Arabidopsis thaliana: one gene and its partners. The protein of the gene in region 1 interacts with the protein of each later gene in a pairwise test. Each region holds a gene or a part of one and is shown in the gene's direction. Other genes may lie near its edges.

What was found.
Region 2: the proteins of MYB117 (region 1) and WRKY47 interact in a two-hybrid assay, tested with the Arabidopsis thaliana proteins (one large-scale study listed by BioGRID).
Region 3: the proteins of MYB117 (region 1) and AT5G58620 interact in a two-hybrid assay, tested with the Arabidopsis thaliana proteins (one large-scale study listed by BioGRID).
Region 4: the proteins of MYB117 (region 1) and FBH4 interact in a two-hybrid assay, tested with the Arabidopsis thaliana proteins (one large-scale study listed by BioGRID).

Annotation. Positions count from the first base shown.
Region 1 is NC_003070.9:9,269,253-9,273,269, forward strand, and holds MYB117 (myb domain protein 117), read left to right. Parts: upstream 1-1,699; 5' UTR 1,700-1,780; coding exon 1,781-2,177; intron 2,178-2,430; coding exon 2,431-2,865; coding exon of another isoform or gene 2,866-2,876; intron 2,877-2,963; coding exon 2,964-3,211; 3' UTR 3,212-3,461; downstream 3,462-4,017. UniProt on the Arabidopsis thaliana protein: Probable transcription factor that involved in boundary specification, meristem initiation and maintenance, and organ patterning.
Region 2 is NC_003075.7:742,921-749,110, forward strand, and holds WRKY47 (WRKY family transcription factor), read left to right. Parts: upstream 1-1,883; 5' UTR 1,884-2,028; coding exon 2,029-2,250; intron 2,251-2,332; coding exon 2,333-2,404; intron 2,405-2,795; coding exon 2,796-2,954; intron 2,955-3,764; coding exon 3,765-4,022; intron 4,023-4,117; coding exon 4,118-4,231; intron 4,232-4,654; coding exon 4,655-5,299; 3' UTR 5,300-5,634; downstream 5,635-6,190. UniProt on the Arabidopsis thaliana protein: Transcription factor. Interacts specifically with the W box (5'-(T)TGAC[CT]-3'), a frequently occurring elicitor-responsive cis-acting element.
Region 3 is NC_003076.8:23,691,402-23,696,730, forward strand, and holds AT5G58620 (zinc finger (CCCH-type) family protein), read left to right. Parts: upstream 1-1,857; 5' UTR 1,858-2,131; intron 2,132-2,515; 5' UTR 2,516-2,557; coding exon 2,558-4,381; 3' UTR 4,382-4,739; downstream 4,740-5,329. Other genes in the region: TRM31 (uncharacterized protein), read right to left, coding at 4,740-5,050, 5,127-5,329.
Region 4 is NC_003071.7:17,611,012-17,615,223, reverse strand, and holds FBH4 (basic helix-loop-helix (bHLH) DNA-binding superfamily protein), read left to right. Parts: upstream 1-1,632; 5' UTR 1,633-2,060; coding exon 2,061-2,508; intron 2,509-2,772; coding exon 2,773-3,029; intron 3,030-3,135; coding exon 3,136-3,315; coding exon of another isoform or gene 3,316-3,333; exon of another isoform or gene 3,334-3,428; coding exon 3,429-3,494; intron 3,495-3,578; coding exon 3,579-3,710; downstream 3,711-4,212.

The DNA of each region.
Region 1 (4,017 bases):
TTTATTTCATCATTTCATTTTAAACGGTAAAAAAAAACTGATTACAATTTTTATAAATGTTTGTTCTGCAAAATATAAAATTAAATAAAGCTGCATAACTTTCTGTTTCATAAAATTATATAGTTCATATATACTTCTTCACCCAACCTTTTATTTCATATTTCATATATAATATTAATGTGTATTTCAAAGTGATTGACCAATTAAAAAGAAAATATGACGAAGAGAAAGAGAGTTTGTAGTGCGTTCGGTTAAATCTCTGTGCAGAGGATCGTACAGTTCTGAGACCCCTTTTGTATCTGTATTTATCCCATATTTAATGGTTACGTCTGCCAATTGGGATTTCTGGTCAAATACGAAAAGGTCTTAAAAGTTATTTCTTTACATTTTTACTGTTCATTCTCATTACTTATACACACTTCCACACGGCCACATTCCTCATGTATGTGGGATATTTAGGGTTGAGAGTTTTTTTGAATTGGCATTGTAATATCTCGTTATTAAAAACCATGAGACTGCTACAAAGAATAAAACAGTCAAAATTTCAAGATTATTTGATACAACATGACAAGGAGAAAATGAGTATATTGAAGCGATGTTTAATTAAGAAAAAAATTGAATGAAGAAAAAAGATTGTGGTTAATTTTTTAAGATAAGAGAGGGTTTCACAGAAACAAAAATGGTAGTAAAAAGTAAAGGAATGAAAGACAAGTGGAGATTAAGAGAGAAAGAGGTAAATTTTAAGGAACCCAAAATGAAATGAAAGAAAAAGCTGTCTGAGAATTGGTTGTGCTAAGAAGAGACCCGACTCATTCCCCAATGGTAAACTCTCTTTTTGCCTTCATCCTTTTTTGGTAGTTAGTTCTGCTTCAGCTTTTTTTCTTTCATCTCATTAGCTTTTATTATTTTCACCTTGCACCTATAAAACATGCATTGATTAATAGAGGATAAATTTCACCTAATAACGGTAAGATTCATTTCGGACTCGTCCAAGATATTCTCTACATTCATTGTTTTTTAGGTCGACACTCCCAACATTAATTTATTTTGTCATAATCCATTGGTTTTCATTAAATAAAAGAGGAAATACTATCTTATACATCAAACTAAGATAAACATTAATTATTCATAAAAGTAGGAAATTTGTATAAGGAACCATAGAGAAGCAGCGTAATTAATGTTATCGTTTGATTATGAACCCTAATACGACTATAAAACTATTGCATACTTTTCAATTACTATCAATCTATGGACATGGAAAAAAACTTGGTCTTCAAATCTTAGTTACTTTTAAATTTAATAAATGATTTATCAGAAAAACTCTTTAACTTCTATGAAACTAGGTACACCTGAACAAATGTATAACAGTCCACAGCAAAATCGAATATCGATAATACACATTTGTACTTACTTATTACAGTAGTGTATATGTAATATATATAATAATGTATAAATGCAAAGAACTCTGTCGTTTGAATTAGTCCGTGACGACGGTCCATAACCCTTTTTAACAGTCGTCAGAAAACACGGTCGCGACATGTACATACACGCACATACCTAAAGCCATACGTAACAAACACACCATTATATACAAAAGATATTCTATTATTTTTAAAAAATAATATTTATGACACACATTTACGTACGTGTATATATAATATGCAAATGCACTCACATAAGTCTTTCTCCTCCGATGGTATATGTCTATAAGCTGACGTGACATCTCTCTTAATTCTCAATAACACTTCTCTTCTTCTTCCTTTCTCCCAACACTAACTCCATGTTTATAACGGAAAAACAAGTGTGGATGGATGAGATCGTCGCAAGAAGAGCTTCTTCTTCTTGGGACTTCCCTTTCAACGACATTAATATTCATCAGCATCATCATCGTCACTGCAACACAAGTCATGAGTTTGAAATCTTGAAGAGTCCTCTTGGAGATGTAGCGGTTCACGAAGAAGAGAGTAATAATAATAACCCTAATTTCAGTAACAGCGAGAGTGGTAAGAAGGAGACAACAGATAGTGGTCAGTCTTGGTCCTCGTCGTCTTCAAAACCATCGGTCTTGGGGAGAGGACATTGGAGACCAGCTGAAGATGTTAAACTCAAAGAGCTTGTCTCCATTTACGGCCCACAAAACTGGAACCTCATAGCTGAAAAGCTTCAAGGAAGATCTGGTAAGTTAAATCAAAACCTTATTTATTTTCTATTTCTTTTGACAGCAAGTTAAATCAAAACCTTATAGATCTTCAAAATTTCATCAAAACCAGTTTGTTTGATTCATCTGGATCTGTCAAGTTCTTAAGATCCGGTGATAAAATCAATTTTTGTTTTTATTAGTTTTCTTGGTCTTTAGCCTTCTATGTCCAATCTAAGTCCTAACGTAATTTTTTTTGAGTTTTATTAACTTAATCTTGATTGTTTTTAAAGGGAAGAGCTGTAGACTACGATGGTTTAACCAATTGGACCCGAGGATAAACCGAAGAGCTTTCACAGAAGAAGAAGAGGAGAGGCTGATGCAAGCACATAGGCTTTATGGTAACAAATGGGCAATGATTGCGAGGCTTTTCCCTGGTAGAACTGATAATTCAGTGAAGAACCATTGGCATGTTGTCATGGCTCGTAAGTATAGAGAACACTCTTCTGCTTACCGTAGGAGAAAGCTTATGAGTAATAATCCACTTAAACCTCACCTCACCAATAATCATCATCCTAACCCTAACCCTAATTACCACTCTTTTATCTCCACTAATCATTACTTCGCTCAGCCTTTCCCCGAGTTTAATTTGACTCATCACCTGGTTAATAATGCCCCTATCACGAGTGACCATAACCAGCTTGTGTTGCCTTTCCATTGCTTTCAAGGTAGCCTATAGCTCTTCCTCCTCTTTCAATAGTTTTTTCAATTGTCTTTTGCATATTTTGAACTCTTTTTTGGTTTTTGTTATATCTACAACGTTCAGGTTATGAGAACAATGAACCTCCGATGGTTGTGAGTATGTTTGGCAACCAAATGATGGTCGGCGATAACGTTGGTGCCACGTCAGACGCGTTATGCAATATTCCGCACATTGACCCTAGTAACCAAGAGAAACCGGAGCCAAATGATGCAATGCATTGGATCGGAATGGACGCGGTAGATGAGGAGGTGTTCGAAAAGGCTAAGCAGCAACCACATTTTTTCGATTTTCTTGGCTTGGGGACGGCGTGAATGTTGAACAAATTGGTGTTAATCAGATAACGACAGTGGTTAAATTTGGTTACAAAAAAAATAGCATTTAGCTTTAGTAGCTAGAAAACAAACAAACCAGATCCTAGCCTTTGTCCTTGCGTTTACGTTAATTACTAAACTGTAGATTGTTGTTGTTGGCACTTGGTTGTCTAGTGTAACATTTGATAAGTCATTGTTTTTAGTAGTACTCGTTCAGAAATATTTAACAAAGAGAGATTGGTTTTAAAAAGTTGATTCTTTTATGATGAAGTGACGTGAAATATTGCTAAAGACGTGTTGAGAATAACAACGAGAGAGAGAGAGAGAGAAGGGAAATTAAAAAGAGTGGAGTTTCTAGGAGTTGGAGAAAGAGACGAAGATGCGTAATTAAGAGAAGAGGAACTGCCAAAATTGAGGCAGAGATTGTGCAACAGAAAGGCCAAACATGAAACATGCTCACCAAATCTCACACACACATTGCATTTGTTTCTTCTCTTCAAACCGTTTTTCCAACTCTTCAAGCTTCTTACCTATGTATCTCTCTCATGTCACGCGGACCCACACATGCCCTTCTTTCTTGTAATTCTTTCCATGTTGTAGATATAAAAGAAAAATTTAAATTGAATTGTTCTTTTGTATAGTTTTGGTTGGGTTAAAAAAAAAGGAAAAAAATTAGTTTTGGTTTTGAATATGAGTTTTTAAAATAATATATAACGTGGATAAATGTATGGGTTTTTCGGATTTTGAAAGGTTGTTGTAGAGAAGATTTTTAATTTACCCATTGGGTCTGAAATTGCTTCAATAGG
Region 2 (6,190 bases), on another chromosome or scaffold:
AAAAGTTATTGTATTTTTAGTGAGTCTTGTTGTATTAATGCTCTAAGAAAAAAGTTTTCTCCAGAATAAACAATCAAGGAGCAAATATTTCAGCGCCAATAAATATAGTAGCCTTTAGGATGGTCCAAATCTGGTAAAATATATCCTTAGCTAAAATGTTGATCTAACTAAAGAGATTTATATGTCAATTTCCAACCAAAAGATTTAGGCCCTGAATGGATGCTGATTTTCGATTCAGTTTTTGGATTTTGATTTTAGTTTCTAGATTTTAGATTTTAGTTTTAGATTTTTGTTAATATATTTTTGTTTTAAAAACTTCAAAAAATTAGTTTTTAGTTTTTGAGAAAAATAACGTTGATGGAGTAAAAACTAGATTCCCTAAATTTTAGAAAAACTAAAAAACTAAAATCATGAATGGAAAATTACAACAAAATAGTTTTTCAAATTGTAGGGAAACCAAAATTTTAAAATCTTGATTGTTATGAAAATAAGTTTTTGAAAAACAAAATCCAAAAACTCTTACAAAATCTACAAAACATTCAAGACCTTATTCTTCTCAGGTTTATATCTTAAACAAAACAAAATCCAAAATGCTATTTAACAAAACAAACAAACAAGTTCTCTTTTGAAATTAATTATTTATATGATATTAATTTCCAAATAAAACCTGAAAAGTTATCATAATCAGATATACATTTTTAATGTGGAAAAATCACGTAATAACATTATAAATATATATATGTAAACTAATATTGTGAAATCTAAGACTCTGTATATATAGTACTGACTACTGAACAAGTATATAAATTTTATGTTTATAATTATAAAACGAATCATTAAAGATATCAAATCTGAATCTCAAATAACTAACCCAAAATCATGATATCTATATAAATATATTCAAATGACCTTGCACGACGGTCTACACTGAGCTTGTTGACGATGACAGATTCAGAAATTCTGATTATTAGTTTAGAAAAAAAAAACTATAGTATTATTATTAACTATTTTAAATTTTTAAGAAAAAGGCAAAATAAATGACGAGTTTAAGACTTTGGTAGTTAGCTCCGGTTTCAATGAATGGTCCAAGTTGGAGAGATTAGGTTCTTTTTCTTCCCTATGTGGGTCCCATTCTTCCTTGTGTGGGTCCCACTCTCTTTAACGTTTCTTCACCGTCCTTTAGTGCCACCGTTATGCCGTGCCGTCAACTCCGTTGACTTCAGGACAACGCTGCTCGTCTTTTACTGAGTCTCACTCACGTCGTCTTTCTCCGTCAACTTTCTTACTAACGGCCACTTAACGGAAATCCGTCACTGTTAACAATTAAATTAATTCCGCTCGACATTTATCGCCGATTTACACGTCACTTTTTTCTATCTTACCCTGGTTATTTAACACGTGTACATTTATGACGCTATATATCGAGGAATTTATCCATCTCAAGGCATTTTCTCAATTATATTCTGGCTGCAAGTATCCAAATTTTATACCAGTTCTAAACAAAATTAGAAAGAAAACAAAATAACAATAAAGACATACTTATAATATTGAGATCAAATCTGACATTTAAGAACCACTCAAGATCTTCCTATTTTAAAAGGCAAAAGAAAGAGTCAGACTGATACTTATCATAAATAATTTTCAACATATATATCAAATGTTTGAGCACATAAAATATAAATATCAAATATAAATTTTAAATGCAACGCTGTAAATTTTCGTTTTATGTATGTCATAAGAATTGATTAGATAAAATTGGCATTTTCGCATAATTTACGTAATTAGTATAAACTAAATCATTATGCAATTTCGGAAATTACCAACCTTCTAATATAATATTCCCAACAGTTGCTTGGTCATTTATTTGTATGTGTAACATTTGACAAAAGAGTGATTTCTCGTTGAAAATGGAAACCTTTAGCTAAGACTTTACACAACTTATCCTCATAAATTTAGTCTTTATATAAAGGGACTCTCTTTTTTTTCTTTTTCTTCTCTCTATCTCTATCTATCTCTCTTTGTCTGCAAATGGAAGAACATATTCAAGATCGCCGTGAAATTGCGTTCTTACACTCAGGAGAATTTCTCCACGGAGATTCTGACTCAAAGGATCATCAACCGAACGAGTCTCCGGTGGAACGTCATCACGAGTCGTCTATCAAAGAAGTTGATTTCTTCGCTGCTAAAAGTCAGCCGTTTGATCTTGGTCATGTGAGAACAACGACGATCGTTGGATCATCTGGTTTTAATGTAAGTTTTTAAATTATAGATATGAATACAAATATATGTTTGGACGTTATAACTTAATTACATAAAATTCATGGCATAATAGGATGGATTAGGTTTGGTAAATTCATGTCATGGAACATCAAGCAATGATGGCGATGACAAAACCAAAACTCAAGTAAGTATTTCTAAATTGTTATTTTTTCTCTTTGATAGAATTTCAGAGTATCCTGTGGTAACATAATTTCAGTGTTTGTATTAAGAATAATTCACTTATATACAAACTATTTGTATTTGTTACTTAAAAAAAAAACTATTTGTATTTGTCAACAAAATAATCGGATGGTAATTTTTGTTGTGTGGACACACACACACACTTGATTACCCGATCATGTGAGTTTATCTAAATGCGCATATTCATTTATGTATATACACATATTTAATTCTTTTCTTTTTTGTAATCTTTAATTTAGTTCCGTATATAAAACTGTAGGTTGTTTTTAATGAAAAAAAAAATTGTTTGATTTATACTTTTATAGTTACGGTTATGATTATTAAACAATTTGCAGATTAGTAGACTGAAGTTGGAGCTAGAGAGGCTTCACGAGGAGAATCACAAACTGAAGCATTTATTAGATGAGGTCAGTGAGAGTTACAACGACCTCCAAAGAAGAGTTTTGTTAGCAAGACAAACACAAGTGGAAGGTCTTCATCATAAACAACATGAGGTACTTGATAAAATCATAAAAATGATAATAAAATATATATCAACATTTCGGTTTATTAAAAAATAAATTGTATATTTGTCTTTTTTATGTGGCACCGAGATTAGCTTAGGTTTTAGTGTTCGATTTATCTGGTTTTGAAAATTTAAAGTGATCTATTAGTTTTGTTTTTCTCGAAAGCAATTAAAATTTTAAAACTATGTGTAATATGCGTAAATAATGGATGTAGTTTAGTTATGTAATGAATTCATAATTTTCATCTTAAATGCCCAGATTGAAAGTCATAAGACGAATAAATACGTGCAGCTTTTATTTGATAAAATATGAAGAAGATGAAATAAATAGCTAGCCAATGACTTGGTCAAGAAAAAAATGTTTCATAACTTAATATTAAATGGAAAATCAAATTTCGGACTAAGATATTTCAAACTAGAAAAAACCTTTTGTTTTCAGAAGCTACAAACGATAAGTTATTTGTTTATAGTTAGGTATGTTCCTGTATATGCATCATATTTTGTTTGTCCACAATCTGTAGATGCATCATATATGAGTCTTTGCCTTAGAATTTTAATAGTTTAATACGTCCATATGTGAATGCATATGTGGTAGGTTATCAAATGTCTATTATTATGTGTGTGTTTATATTTATTATCTTGTCTTTGGGTCTATCGGTACTATATATATTATGAGGTTACTTGATCAAATTAATTACCGATACTACGGTATGATTTTGGGTAAATTTCAACGTCTTTTTCTTTCAATTTTCTTATAAAACTGACACATCTTTCTTGCAAATTTTTGTTTGGCAAAAAGGATGTACCTCAAGCTGGTTCCTCACAAGCTCTAGAGAACAGAAGACCAAAGGATATGAACCATGAAACTCCGGCCACCACCTTGAAACGACGGTCTCCAGACGACGTGGATGGTCGTGATATGCACCGAGGATCACCAAAAACTCCTCGAATAGACCAAAACAAGAGTACTAATCATGAAGAACAACAAAACCCTCATGATCAATTACCCTATAGAAAAGCTAGGGTTTCCGTTAGAGCTAGATCTGATGCCACTACGGTAACTTTCTATAAGTTACTAATTTTTTTGATTCGTTTAACCTTACATATATATATGAGTTATGAAAATTGAATCAATATTAATATATAATATAGGTAAATGACGGATGTCAATGGAGAAAATACGGTCAGAAAATGGCGAAAGGGAATCCATGTCCTCGCGCTTATTATCGTTGCACCATGGCCGTTGGATGTCCTGTCCGTAAACAGGTTAGTATAACTATATATATGAGAAAATGTTATCATAATTATAGAAAAAAAAATTTGGTATTAGAATTTTGTATTGATTAACGTATATAGTATTGGTTCTTTTCGTCAACATGTAGCTTTGAATATAAAAATTGACATAATAACAACACTAATATAACCGATTATATTACGTATCCTTTAGAAGTATTGATTTAGAGCAATACCATAAAACCTTATTAAAGTCCTTCATACAACAGATTTAGAAAGTTTTAAGAAGAGTATAGAAAATAATTCTAAATTTAGAAAGGCTTTACTAAATCCCTTTCTAACAAAATCTTTTACTTATGAAAAACCAAAACTAGAATGCGACATATTTATTCTTAAAGAAAACTTTATTGTTTTACGTAACAAAATGATTTAAAATGTTTATTTGAATGTAAATAGGTCCAACGATGCGCGGAGGATACAACTATCTTGACAACAACGTACGAAGGAAACCATAACCATCCTCTTCCCCCGTCAGCCACAGCCATGGCTGCAACCACCTCCGCCGCAGCAGCCATGCTCTTATCAGGCTCCTCCTCCAGCAACCTCCACCAAACACTCTCTAGCCCCTCCGCCACGTCATCATCATCCTTCTACCATAACTTCCCATACACCTCCACAATCGCAACACTCTCTGCCTCAGCTCCTTTCCCCACCATAACCTTAGACCTCACCAACCCACCTCGACCGCTACAACCGCCACCGCAGTTTCTAAGCCAGTATGGTCCCGCCGCGTTTTTACCAAACGCTAATCAAATTAGGTCTATGAATAATAATAACCAGCAGTTATTAATACCTAATTTGTTTGGCCCACAAGCCCCACCACGTGAAATGGTCGATTCAGTTAGGGCTGCGATTGCGATGGATCCGAACTTCACGGCGGCACTTGCGGCCGCGATCTCAAACATTATCGGAGGAGGTAATAACGACAACAATAATAATACTGATATTAATGATAACAAGGTTGATGCAAAAAGTGGAGGGAGTAGTAACGGAGATTCGCCACAGCTTCCTCAGTCTTGCACCACTTTCTCTACAAACTAATTTTACTACCATTATTATATGTTATCTTATTATATATTACACACACATATTATACATTATGCGTATCTTAAGTTTTTTTTTGGTGTACATTATATATGAATGATATGGAGATCACTGAGAGAGAGAGAGAGCTATTATAGGTTTTTTTTTTACAGGTTTACACGATTTTGGCTATCGTTTTTTTTTCTTCTATGTTAAGAACGAGGGGTGTAGGTTTTATTTTTCCTACTTCTTATGAATCATACTCTGTATATGTATACATCTTAAATATATATTATGTTAAAAAAGAACATGCATGCCTGTATGATATATTAATATATTACAATGTAACTATATAATATGACTATATGAGTAACATTTTTTGTTATATCTACTGAATAAGATATCATGAGAGGTATCAAATATAACAACGACAAGGATCAGTACTGTATTAGATTTATTGTTCGTTTCGCAGTTGTCAAAGACCATAACAATGATTGTTCGATTTTGTAGTTGTTAGCTCAATTATTATATATATATATATATATATATATATATATATATATATATATATATATATATATATATATATATGAAACAATTGTAGTAACTAAGCTGATTTCTTTTAGTATTTTAAATTTTAATTAGCGATGAATCAGTGAAATTTGTTATTGTCAACCACAACTAAATCGGTATGAGTATAACCTACCACAAGTTACTGTCAATGATTACTAAATATTTATAATTTAGTTGTTGATAGTTGTTGCCAATGATTACAAAGCGTACACGATATTGTGTATATGAACAAAATACAAAGAAACTAAAGAACAACAAGGTCGCTGATATATACCAAATCGTCGGTTTAACCGGCTCTGCCAGTGTATATTTTCCTAGTGACAATTGTCACATATG
Region 3 (5,329 bases), on another chromosome or scaffold:
TTAAAACTAAAGGACATTGATGTTGTTTTTTGGTTGATACACGCGAAAAGAGTGGAGATTTTTAATTTTGGTCAATTTGCACTATTTCCTAATTAAAAATCCAAAATTTACCCATTTCACCCTCTTATTTCTTTATTTCTTCTACTTTCGTACTATTAAAGCTTGCTCATCACTCTTTGACTTTGACTCTGTTTTTCACTCTTCTCAGATATAGCTCATGAATACGACATTCTTTCTTCGGATTCACCATATGACTTTTACTTGTGAAGATAGTAAGATACTATCTCATTAGTTACCAGTTCTTTTTATTTACGTCCATGAAGAAGAAATTGGCTTCCTTCTTTTAAATCAAGAAGATAGACTAATGGGCCAAACCTAGGTCTTTAATTATGGGCTTTGAAACAGATCATTATCCTCGTATAGCCCCGCATCGGTATTTCTGGCCCAGAAGTGCTTGGCGCCAAGTCGAAGAGAGATAATTCACTGCATTTAGGACCATAAAAGTCAATATGGTCTGTCCAATAAGGCTCTGCCATTTGGGGTTTTGTCGCAGCGACGTCGGCTGATAAAATAGCAAATAGCAATGCTTAGTCGCTTTCAGTTGGTCCCACATGCTTCTTATTCCATTCATTCTAGTCAGATTATGGATTCTTGTGGGTCCTTTTCCTAATTGTACACTTAGACTTTTCTACCTTTTTTCCCTTTTTATTTCGCTTTATATCAAAATTAACCTAACAATATATCTCATCGTGAATACAAGATCTTGACCGTCTGTTTTCAGCATTTTTCATACCATTGTCTTTTGAGTGACTGACTTATAACAAATTTTTAAATATTGATTTGACATTGGGAATCAACAGTGTTTATGTTAAGAAACAGGATATAATTATCTAAAAATTAATAATTTGTCGTGTATATATACAGTATTTGCACTATCATATTAATATTATGACTTTACTTATTTATTAGAACTGTAAATTAGAAGAAGAGAAAATAAATGGCTTTGTGTTATGATGTGAGAGAGAGCCAGTGGAGCAGCTTCGTTAATGCCGCTGCAAAAAGCATTGATGGGTTCGGTTGCATGCATTTGGATTTGGTCTGGTTGCAATACAAAACAGTAGTCGTTTTCAAAAAAATATTATTATACATTTGCAATTTATGACTACTTTTATATAGTAGTACAACATTGTCATGGATCACGAATCACTATCTTTTAATATAATAATACAAGCATAGCGACAGAAAATACAAAGTTTGGTAAGGTTTGTTCGAATTCTTTCCATTACCGAATTTAAATACACATTATTTTAGTCTCTTAGGATATTTGTATTACCTAATCGTCTTTTTGTTGGAATTGTCGACCGAAAAAAACTGAACATAAACGTCAATTTCTCGACTTTATAATAATTATCTCAATTATCTTTAAACTTTATGATAATTAATTTTGATGAATATAACTCAAATCAAAGCTATGACAAAAGAGAGTTGCTATCAAGCGAAACCCACTCGAGACGGTTCCGATTCTGTGTTTTGGTGCATGTTGAGATTATTCTGGGGCGGTGACAAACCAATTAAAAAGCTATGGTTAATTGGTTATATAACTCTAGGTAACAGGCAGTGGTTTTATCTTTAGCTCGTGAATGGAGAAGAAAAGTAAGTAGCTCATTTTAAAAACATGCTGACGATGCATGGTTTCCACGTCATCCCACCAAAAACCGGAAAAACGCGTGAAGCGTGACAAAACCGATGAGCGAAGATCCTCTGTGTGAAGTCTAACGTACACCTTCATTTCCTTCAGACTTTACAAATTAAAATTGAAAGTAAAATAAATAAATAGAAATAAAAAAGACGAGAGAGAAGTAGAAGAAGAATGATGGAGATGGTGGTTTTGTTTTATTATTTAGAGTAAGCTTCTTCATTTTTTTAAAAACTTCTATTATTTTGACCTTAAGAAGAAAGTGACAAGGAGAGGAAGAAGAAGAAAAAAAACATAATTTGAGGAAGAAGAAAAAAAATTCGGATTTGTTTTTTCAATAAATTGACTAATTGAGTACTCGTTTAAAGGAAGTGAAGAGCGGTTTTTTGGTAGTGGTGGTCGAGAAAAGAGAGAGTTTGTCTCTGTGACTCAGAGGTAGAAAATCTTTACTCTTTGTTTCTTTGATTTGATTAGTCACTAATTTAGTTTCAGTTGAATCCATATATGTCGATTTGTTTTAGAGTTTGCAGTTTGTTTTTAATTGTTTTGCTGATTGGAAAATGAGTTAACAATATGATTAGTTTTCGATGTTGCAAAAGTGGTTAATTATGGATCTGTTGGTGTTTATTTTTGGTTTGGTTTGTTTTAAAGTTGGAAACTTTGTATCCCAAACTAACAAACTCTTCCTTCTCTCCTTAGCTTAATCGTTTCTGCAGTTTTTATTTCTGTTTTGTATGATTTTGTTCTATGTATATTACCATTTTAATCAGAAGAAAAAAGATTCATCCTTTTCAATTTGTTCTGCAATTTTTTTTGCAGTGAAATCAATAGAGCGGGAAAAGATTGTTGCTTTTTTTTGCCATGGGAGTTGATGAGCTGTCTCACCTCAAATTCTCTCTTCTGCTAGAATCATCAGCCTGCAATGATTTGTCCGGTTTTAAGTCTCTAGTTGAAGAAGAAGGTCTTGAGAGCATTGATGGCTCTGGTTTGTGGTATGGGAGGAGATTAGGATCAAAGAAGATGGGTTTTGAGGAGAGGACGCCTCTTATGATTGCTGCCTTGTTTGGAAGCAAAGAGGTTGTTGATTACATCATTAGTACTGGTCTTGTTGACGTGAACCGCTCTTGTGGCTCTGATGGTGCCACGGCTCTTCACTGTGCGGTCTCTGGCTTGTCTGCCAATAGCCTTGAGATTGTTACTCTTCTGCTGAAGGGCTCTGCGAATCCGGATTCTTGTGATGCTTATGGTAACAAGCCTGGAGATGTGATTTTCCCTTGTTTGAGTCCGGTTTTTAGCGCGAGGATGAAGGTTTTGGAGCGTTTGTTGAAAGGAAATGATGATTTGAATGAAGTTAATGGGCAAGAAGAAAGCGAGCCAGAGGTTGAGGTTGAGGTTGAGGTTTCGCCTCCTCGGGGGTCTGAGAGGAAGGAGTATCCGGTTGATCCAACGCTTCCTGATATCAAGAACGGTGTATATGGGACGGATGAGTTCCGGATGTATGCTTTCAAGATCAAGCCGTGCTCTAGAGCATACTCTCACGACTGGACGGAATGTCCCTTTGTTCATCCGGGTGAGAACGCAAGGAGGCGTGATCCGAGGAAGTACCATTATAGTTGTGTCCCTTGTCCTGAATTCCGGAAGGGGTCTTGTTCCAGAGGTGATACTTGCGAGTATGCTCATGGTATCTTTGAGTGCTGGCTTCACCCGGCTCAGTACCGGACTCGTCTCTGCAAGGACGAGACGAATTGCTCGAGAAGAGTTTGTTTCTTTGCCCACAAACCCGAGGAGCTGCGTCCTTTGTACCCTTCAACTGGATCAGGTGTTCCGTCCCCGCGGTCTTCCTTCTCATCTTGCAATTCCTCGACCGCTTTCGACATGGGACCGATTAGTCCGCTTCCTATCGGAGCAACAACCACACCTCCTTTGAGTCCTAACGGTGTATCCTCTCCAATAGGTGGAGGAAAAACGTGGATGAACTGGCCTAACATAACCCCTCCTGCATTGCAGCTTCCAGGGAGCAGATTGAAATCTGCATTGAATGCAAGAGAAATCGATTTCTCTGAAGAGATGCAAAGTCTTACTTCTCCAACTACATGGAACAACACGCCAATGTCATCTCCATTCTCCGGAAAGGGCATGAACAGGCTTGCAGGAGGAGCAATGAGCCCGGTGAATAGTCTCAGTGATATGTTTGGGACAGAGGATAATACATCGGGTTTGCAGATCCGACGCAGCGTCATTAACCCGCAGCTGCATTCCAACAGTCTTTCTTCATCACCTGTGGGAGCCAATTCTCTGTTTTCGATGGATTCCTCCGCAGTCTTGGCTTCAAGAGCGGCTGAATTTGCTAAACAGCGAAGCCAAAGCTTCATAGAACGCAACAACGGACTGAATCACCATCCCGCAATCTCTTCCATGACTACAACTTGTTTAAACGATTGGGGCTCATTGGATGGGAAGCTTGACTGGAGCGTCCAAGGAGACGAGCTACAGAAGCTCAGAAAATCCACTTCTTTCCGTCTCAGAGCCGGTGGCATGGAATCAAGACTGCCTAACGAAGGGACTGGGCTCGAAGAGCCAGATGTCTCATGGGTGGAGCCGCTGGTGAAAGAGCCACAGGAGACAAGACTAGCTCCGGTTTGGATGGAGCAATCATACATGGAGACAGAACAGACCGTGGCTTGAATCAAAAGTTTTGAACTTTCATTAACCGTTCCACAAGAAGCAAAGTCAGAAAGATTCCGAGAGGTCGATGCTAATCTATTTCATTTTATTTGTTTAATGCTTTGTTATTTTTCTTTAGAATAAAAAGAAAAAATTCTTAGGGGACAAAAGAGAGTTCGTTTGTCTCTCTCTCTGTCTCCAAAGAAAAACAGAGGTGAAAAAAGGTTTCAAAACCTAAGAAACCTTGAATTACCTCACCTCACTTCCTTGATTCTTTACTATTCACAATGAGTAATCGATTTTTTTTTTTCTTGGTAACACTCTCACGCTGAATATATATGTTTTTTAGTAATAATATAATTGGAATACAGAAATGTATTTACACTTGTGAAGTTAGGGAAAGTGTTGTAATTGTTTCTTCTAAGAGTTGATCTAAGATGTTTGAGACTATATCTTCGCTTATGATTCCTTCTATATCTTCGAGCTTTAAAGCTTTTCCGTTAAACCAATCTGAACCTTCAAGGTCAGATACAGTGAGTTTGCAGATCATGAGCCACATCTCTTGGTAGCCATGAAGTCGGATTTCTTGGTCTTTTGATCTACTTGTCAATGTGATGTGATCTTGTTCAATCGTTTCATTGAGCTTACTAGATTCAAGTTCTGAAGACAACCGTCTTCTTGAAATGTTTCCTGTTACAAGGAAACAAGTATGCTTTAATAACACAAGAAAGGACATTTCAATTTTCAATACTGAAGAATTACCAACCTGGTGATGGAGTTACTCGAACACCAGCATACCGGTCATAATCAAGAACCGAGACAGGGCTCGAATCATCGCAGCTTCCACACTCTTCTTCTTCTTTTGTTGATCTCACTTCACAATTTACTAAATCTTCTTCTTTGGACCAACAACCATTACTTTGGACCCAATTCTCCTTCTCGATGTTCTGTCTCAACTTAGTTTCTTTT
Region 4 (4,212 bases), on another chromosome or scaffold:
GCATGTGCTTTGTACATACAATTTTGTCTTCTTGTTGATTAATTATTAAACAGCTCGAAGTTTTAAGACTATGTAGCTTAGCCTATGTCAATGTCATCAATCTATATGCAATATATATAGAGCCTCAGGCACATAAACCGTAGTCCCCATATAAAAAAGGGAATGAAACAGCTAATAACTCCATAGAGAATAAATTCACATTCAAAGCAAATTCACCACCCCAATCTTCTCAATGGTTCGGTTTCTTTTTTCAATTCTTACATTGTACTAAAAGCTAAAAATTCAGACTGATACGATACGAATAGGTTTTTGAAAATATAAAAATTAATCAATTTCCATTAAAGGGCTGAATAGCTAAAAACTCCATAGAGAACAAGTCGCTTTATTGGATTTAGATTTTAAAAAGACGGCGCTCGTGAATTATTAAAGTTTAAACTAAGATAAGATTTAAAGAGATTTAGAGGAGACGTAATCTGGTGTATATCGTTCACATAGAGTCACGTCACTGTATAATCCATCGACCACTAAGGTTTTAGAGTTTAGTTTCAAATCTTACTTTTTCATGCAGGTGTACCGTATGTCACACAGATTATAGTAGTCGCCAACTTACGTTCCCAATGGGTGATAACGGCGTCAACGTCCTCCGTCACGATCGTGTCGTAAGCTGTACACTGTATAGGTTCCGTGAACCTTAAAATCGGATTTGGAAAGCTACGTACGTACGTAAATATTGGTTAAAAAGTTCAAACAGTTTTGATCTCTCTTTTATTACAAACAAACTGTACTTCCGACAATTTTCTTTCTTTCTATTTCAAGTACGTTTTCGTGTCTAACTATATTAACATCTAACTTCTGACTTTTATACTCTGATGGGACAATCTTTAATTCTTAAATTCTAAGTTGTACCATGCGAATGGATATTAGATTTTGTCAGTACAATTGCTGACTATGAATGAAGTACTCTAACATCATTATTGGTTCCTGAATAATGAGTACTTAAACAAAACAAATTTGAAGTAACGTAACCATGACATATTAGATCCATGTCCCCTAAAACGTATTAAAATTATTTCCTTACGTCGTTAAATTTCGAATCTAGTGTTAAATTGTTACATTGGTTGTTAAACTACCGACCCAATAAAAAAAAAGAAACTAATATTTATGATTGGTGCATCTTGTTGTAAATTGTAATCGTATGGCCTACCAGCGATTTCATTGTCCCCAACATACAGATATTTTTGTTCGTGTGTTATAAATTAGGGTAGAAACATCACATATTTTACAGAGACAAAGAAAAAAACAAGAATCGTAATAAAATGATATTATGGATACATGTAGATTATAAGATGAGAAATAATAATTTGTCACGGGTCCATCAGTATACTCGTCAAAATTGATTAGGTAGGTAATTTACTTCACATGCTCTTCCTGTATACAAGTATAAAGTATGTATTTTCATCTAAAATCTACTCTTTTCTCAATTACATTTTATATAGAAAAATTCATATTCTTAAGAAATAGTAGTAAAATTGTTCTTGAAAAAAAATATGAAAAGGCATTTTCCGTGACTCAGCCTCACAGGCGGCTTAAAACGACGTCTTTTTCAATTTTAATAAATTTTTGGTAAAAAAGCTTTTGGATCCGCCGCTATCTTCAGCAATTAAAGTTGGACGCAGAAACTCAGAAGCAAAAAGACGATAAATATTCATCATCACCTTCATCTCTCTCTTCCTCTCATCAGACTTCACCGTTCTTCTTTCTCTCTTCTTCATCTTCAGACGAAACCTCCTTTACTTCCCCTTCAAGGTTTTATATTTCCCAAATCCTACACCTGCTCACATCTCAAGCTCAAGTTTTGTTTTCCCGGGAAAAGTGACACAAACAAGAACTTAACAAGGGAGAAGAAAAAGCTTATATTCATATCAACGGTTGACGTTGGAAAGCTATTAAGATTTGGTTTTCTACAAATTTGTTCTTCCTGAAACGTCACGAGACAGAGCTTACAAGAAGAGAAAACAGAGGAAATTTCGTTGCATTTTTTTTACATATTGATTCGATTAATGGATTCAAATAATCATCTCTACGACCCGAATCCCACCGGGTCGGGTCTTCTTCGTTTTAGATCAGCTCCGAGCTCTGTTCTCGCCGCTTTTGTTGACGACGACAAGATTGGTTTCGACTCCGATAGGTTGCTTTCAAGATTCGTGACCTCTAATGGCGTTAACGGAGATCTGGGTTCACCTAAATTCGAGGATAAGTCTCCGGTTTCGTTAACGAACACCTCTGTTTCATACGCCGCCACTCTGCCGCCACCGCCGCAGCTTGAGCCGTCGAGTTTTCTGGGTTTGCCGCCGCATTACCCGAGGCAGAGTAAAGGGATAATGAACTCGGTTGGTTTGGATCAGTTTCTCGGTATCAATAATCATCACACCAAACCAGTTGAATCTAATCTTCTCCGTCAAAGCAGCTCTCCAGCCGGAATGTTTACTAATCTCTCTGACCAAAACGGTACCGTTTTGCTCTCTGCTACAAAGTTTTTCCCCCTTTTTTTAGTCTGAAATATTTTTTTCATTTATAACAGAAGTGTTTTTGGTACTTCTTGATTCAACTTTTTTGAATGTTTTAACACTTGCTTCAAGATTTTTGAATGTTTTACGTTCCTTGAGAATAATTTTAAGACAAGATCTGATTTGATTTTGTCAACCATAGAGTTAAAGCACTTTGGACTCAACAAATCTAATAAGTGTTTACTATATACTTACAAATTTGCAGGTTATGGTTCAATGAGGAATTTGATGAATTACGAAGAAGATGAAGAGAGTCCATCTAATTCCAATGGATTAAGACGCCATTGCAGTCTCTCTTCAAGGCCACCTTCTTCACTTGGAATGCTTTCTCAAATACCTGAAATCGCACCCGAAACTAATTTTCCATATAGCCATTGGAATGATCCATCCAGCTTTATTGATAACTTATCCTCACTTAAAAGAGAAGCCGAGGACGATGGAAAATTGTTTCTCGGAGCTCAGGTAACTCGGTTATCTAACCGGTTTGTTTTGGTTATTGATCAGTAGCTGAAAGTGGAGTTGATTTCTTGGAGTGGTTTCTAATGATGTTTTTGATGGGTTTCTACAGAACGGAGAGTCCGGGAATCGTATGCAGTTACTGTCGCATCATTTGAGCCTACCAAAGTCATCATCGACAGCCTCGGACATGGTTTCAGTGGATAAGTATCTTCAGCTACAAGATTCTGTTCCTTGTAAAATCAGAGCCAAACGTGGTTGCGCTACACATCCTCGAAGCATCGCTGAACGGGTAACTTCACCTAGTTAAGGCCATCTTTACATATATCAATGGAAGTCCATTTGAAGCAGAATCTAGTTTGTTTTCAGAAAGCCTTTCCTAAGAAATCTTGTCAATTGTGTCAGGTAAGAAGAACGCGGATAAGCGAGCGAATGAGGAAGTTACAAGAGCTTGTTCCTAACATGGACAAGGTACAGTTTTCAGGAACTTCCTTGTAATGACTTTTGATCATAAACAAATTGTTAAATGATGTTGTTTTCTTTATGTTTTAACAGCAAACCAACACTTCGGATATGTTGGATTTAGCTGTGGATTACATCAAAGATTTACAAAGACAGTATAAGGTAAAGTTCCTGATCATTGTGGAAAAAAAACAAAGGGGCCTGTTTAGTCTTCTGTTGAATTGATTTAGTCTTCTGTTGGTTTTACACAGATTTTAAACGACAACAGAGCTAACTGTAAGTGTATGAACAAGGAGAAGAAGTCAATATAGGGCGCAACAAAGTGTGTAGTAGATAGGACTAAAAAGCAGGGAGAAGGACAAGAAAGAAACAATGTCATGTCTGAATATTTTTTAGCCGAAACAGACCAAATTGTCTATGTAAGCTCTCGAGAAAAGCATCTGCTTCCAACAAAATTCTAAGTAATAAAATAGTACTCGATTTGTTCTTATTTCATTATTACAATGCAGAATCTACTAATCAAATGTTGTACTACAAAAGGTAAGATCAACTACGGTAGCTAAATGCGAAAATTATGACCAGAAGAACAAAGAAAGACTCGAAAACTAAGCAGAAAACATAAATTATTCTTCCATGTGATCTGCAGCGTCAGAATCTTTGATATCACCAGTAAGACTACTCCTGGTCACAACCAAAGTAAGAATCACACATGAAGTAGAGTGTATAC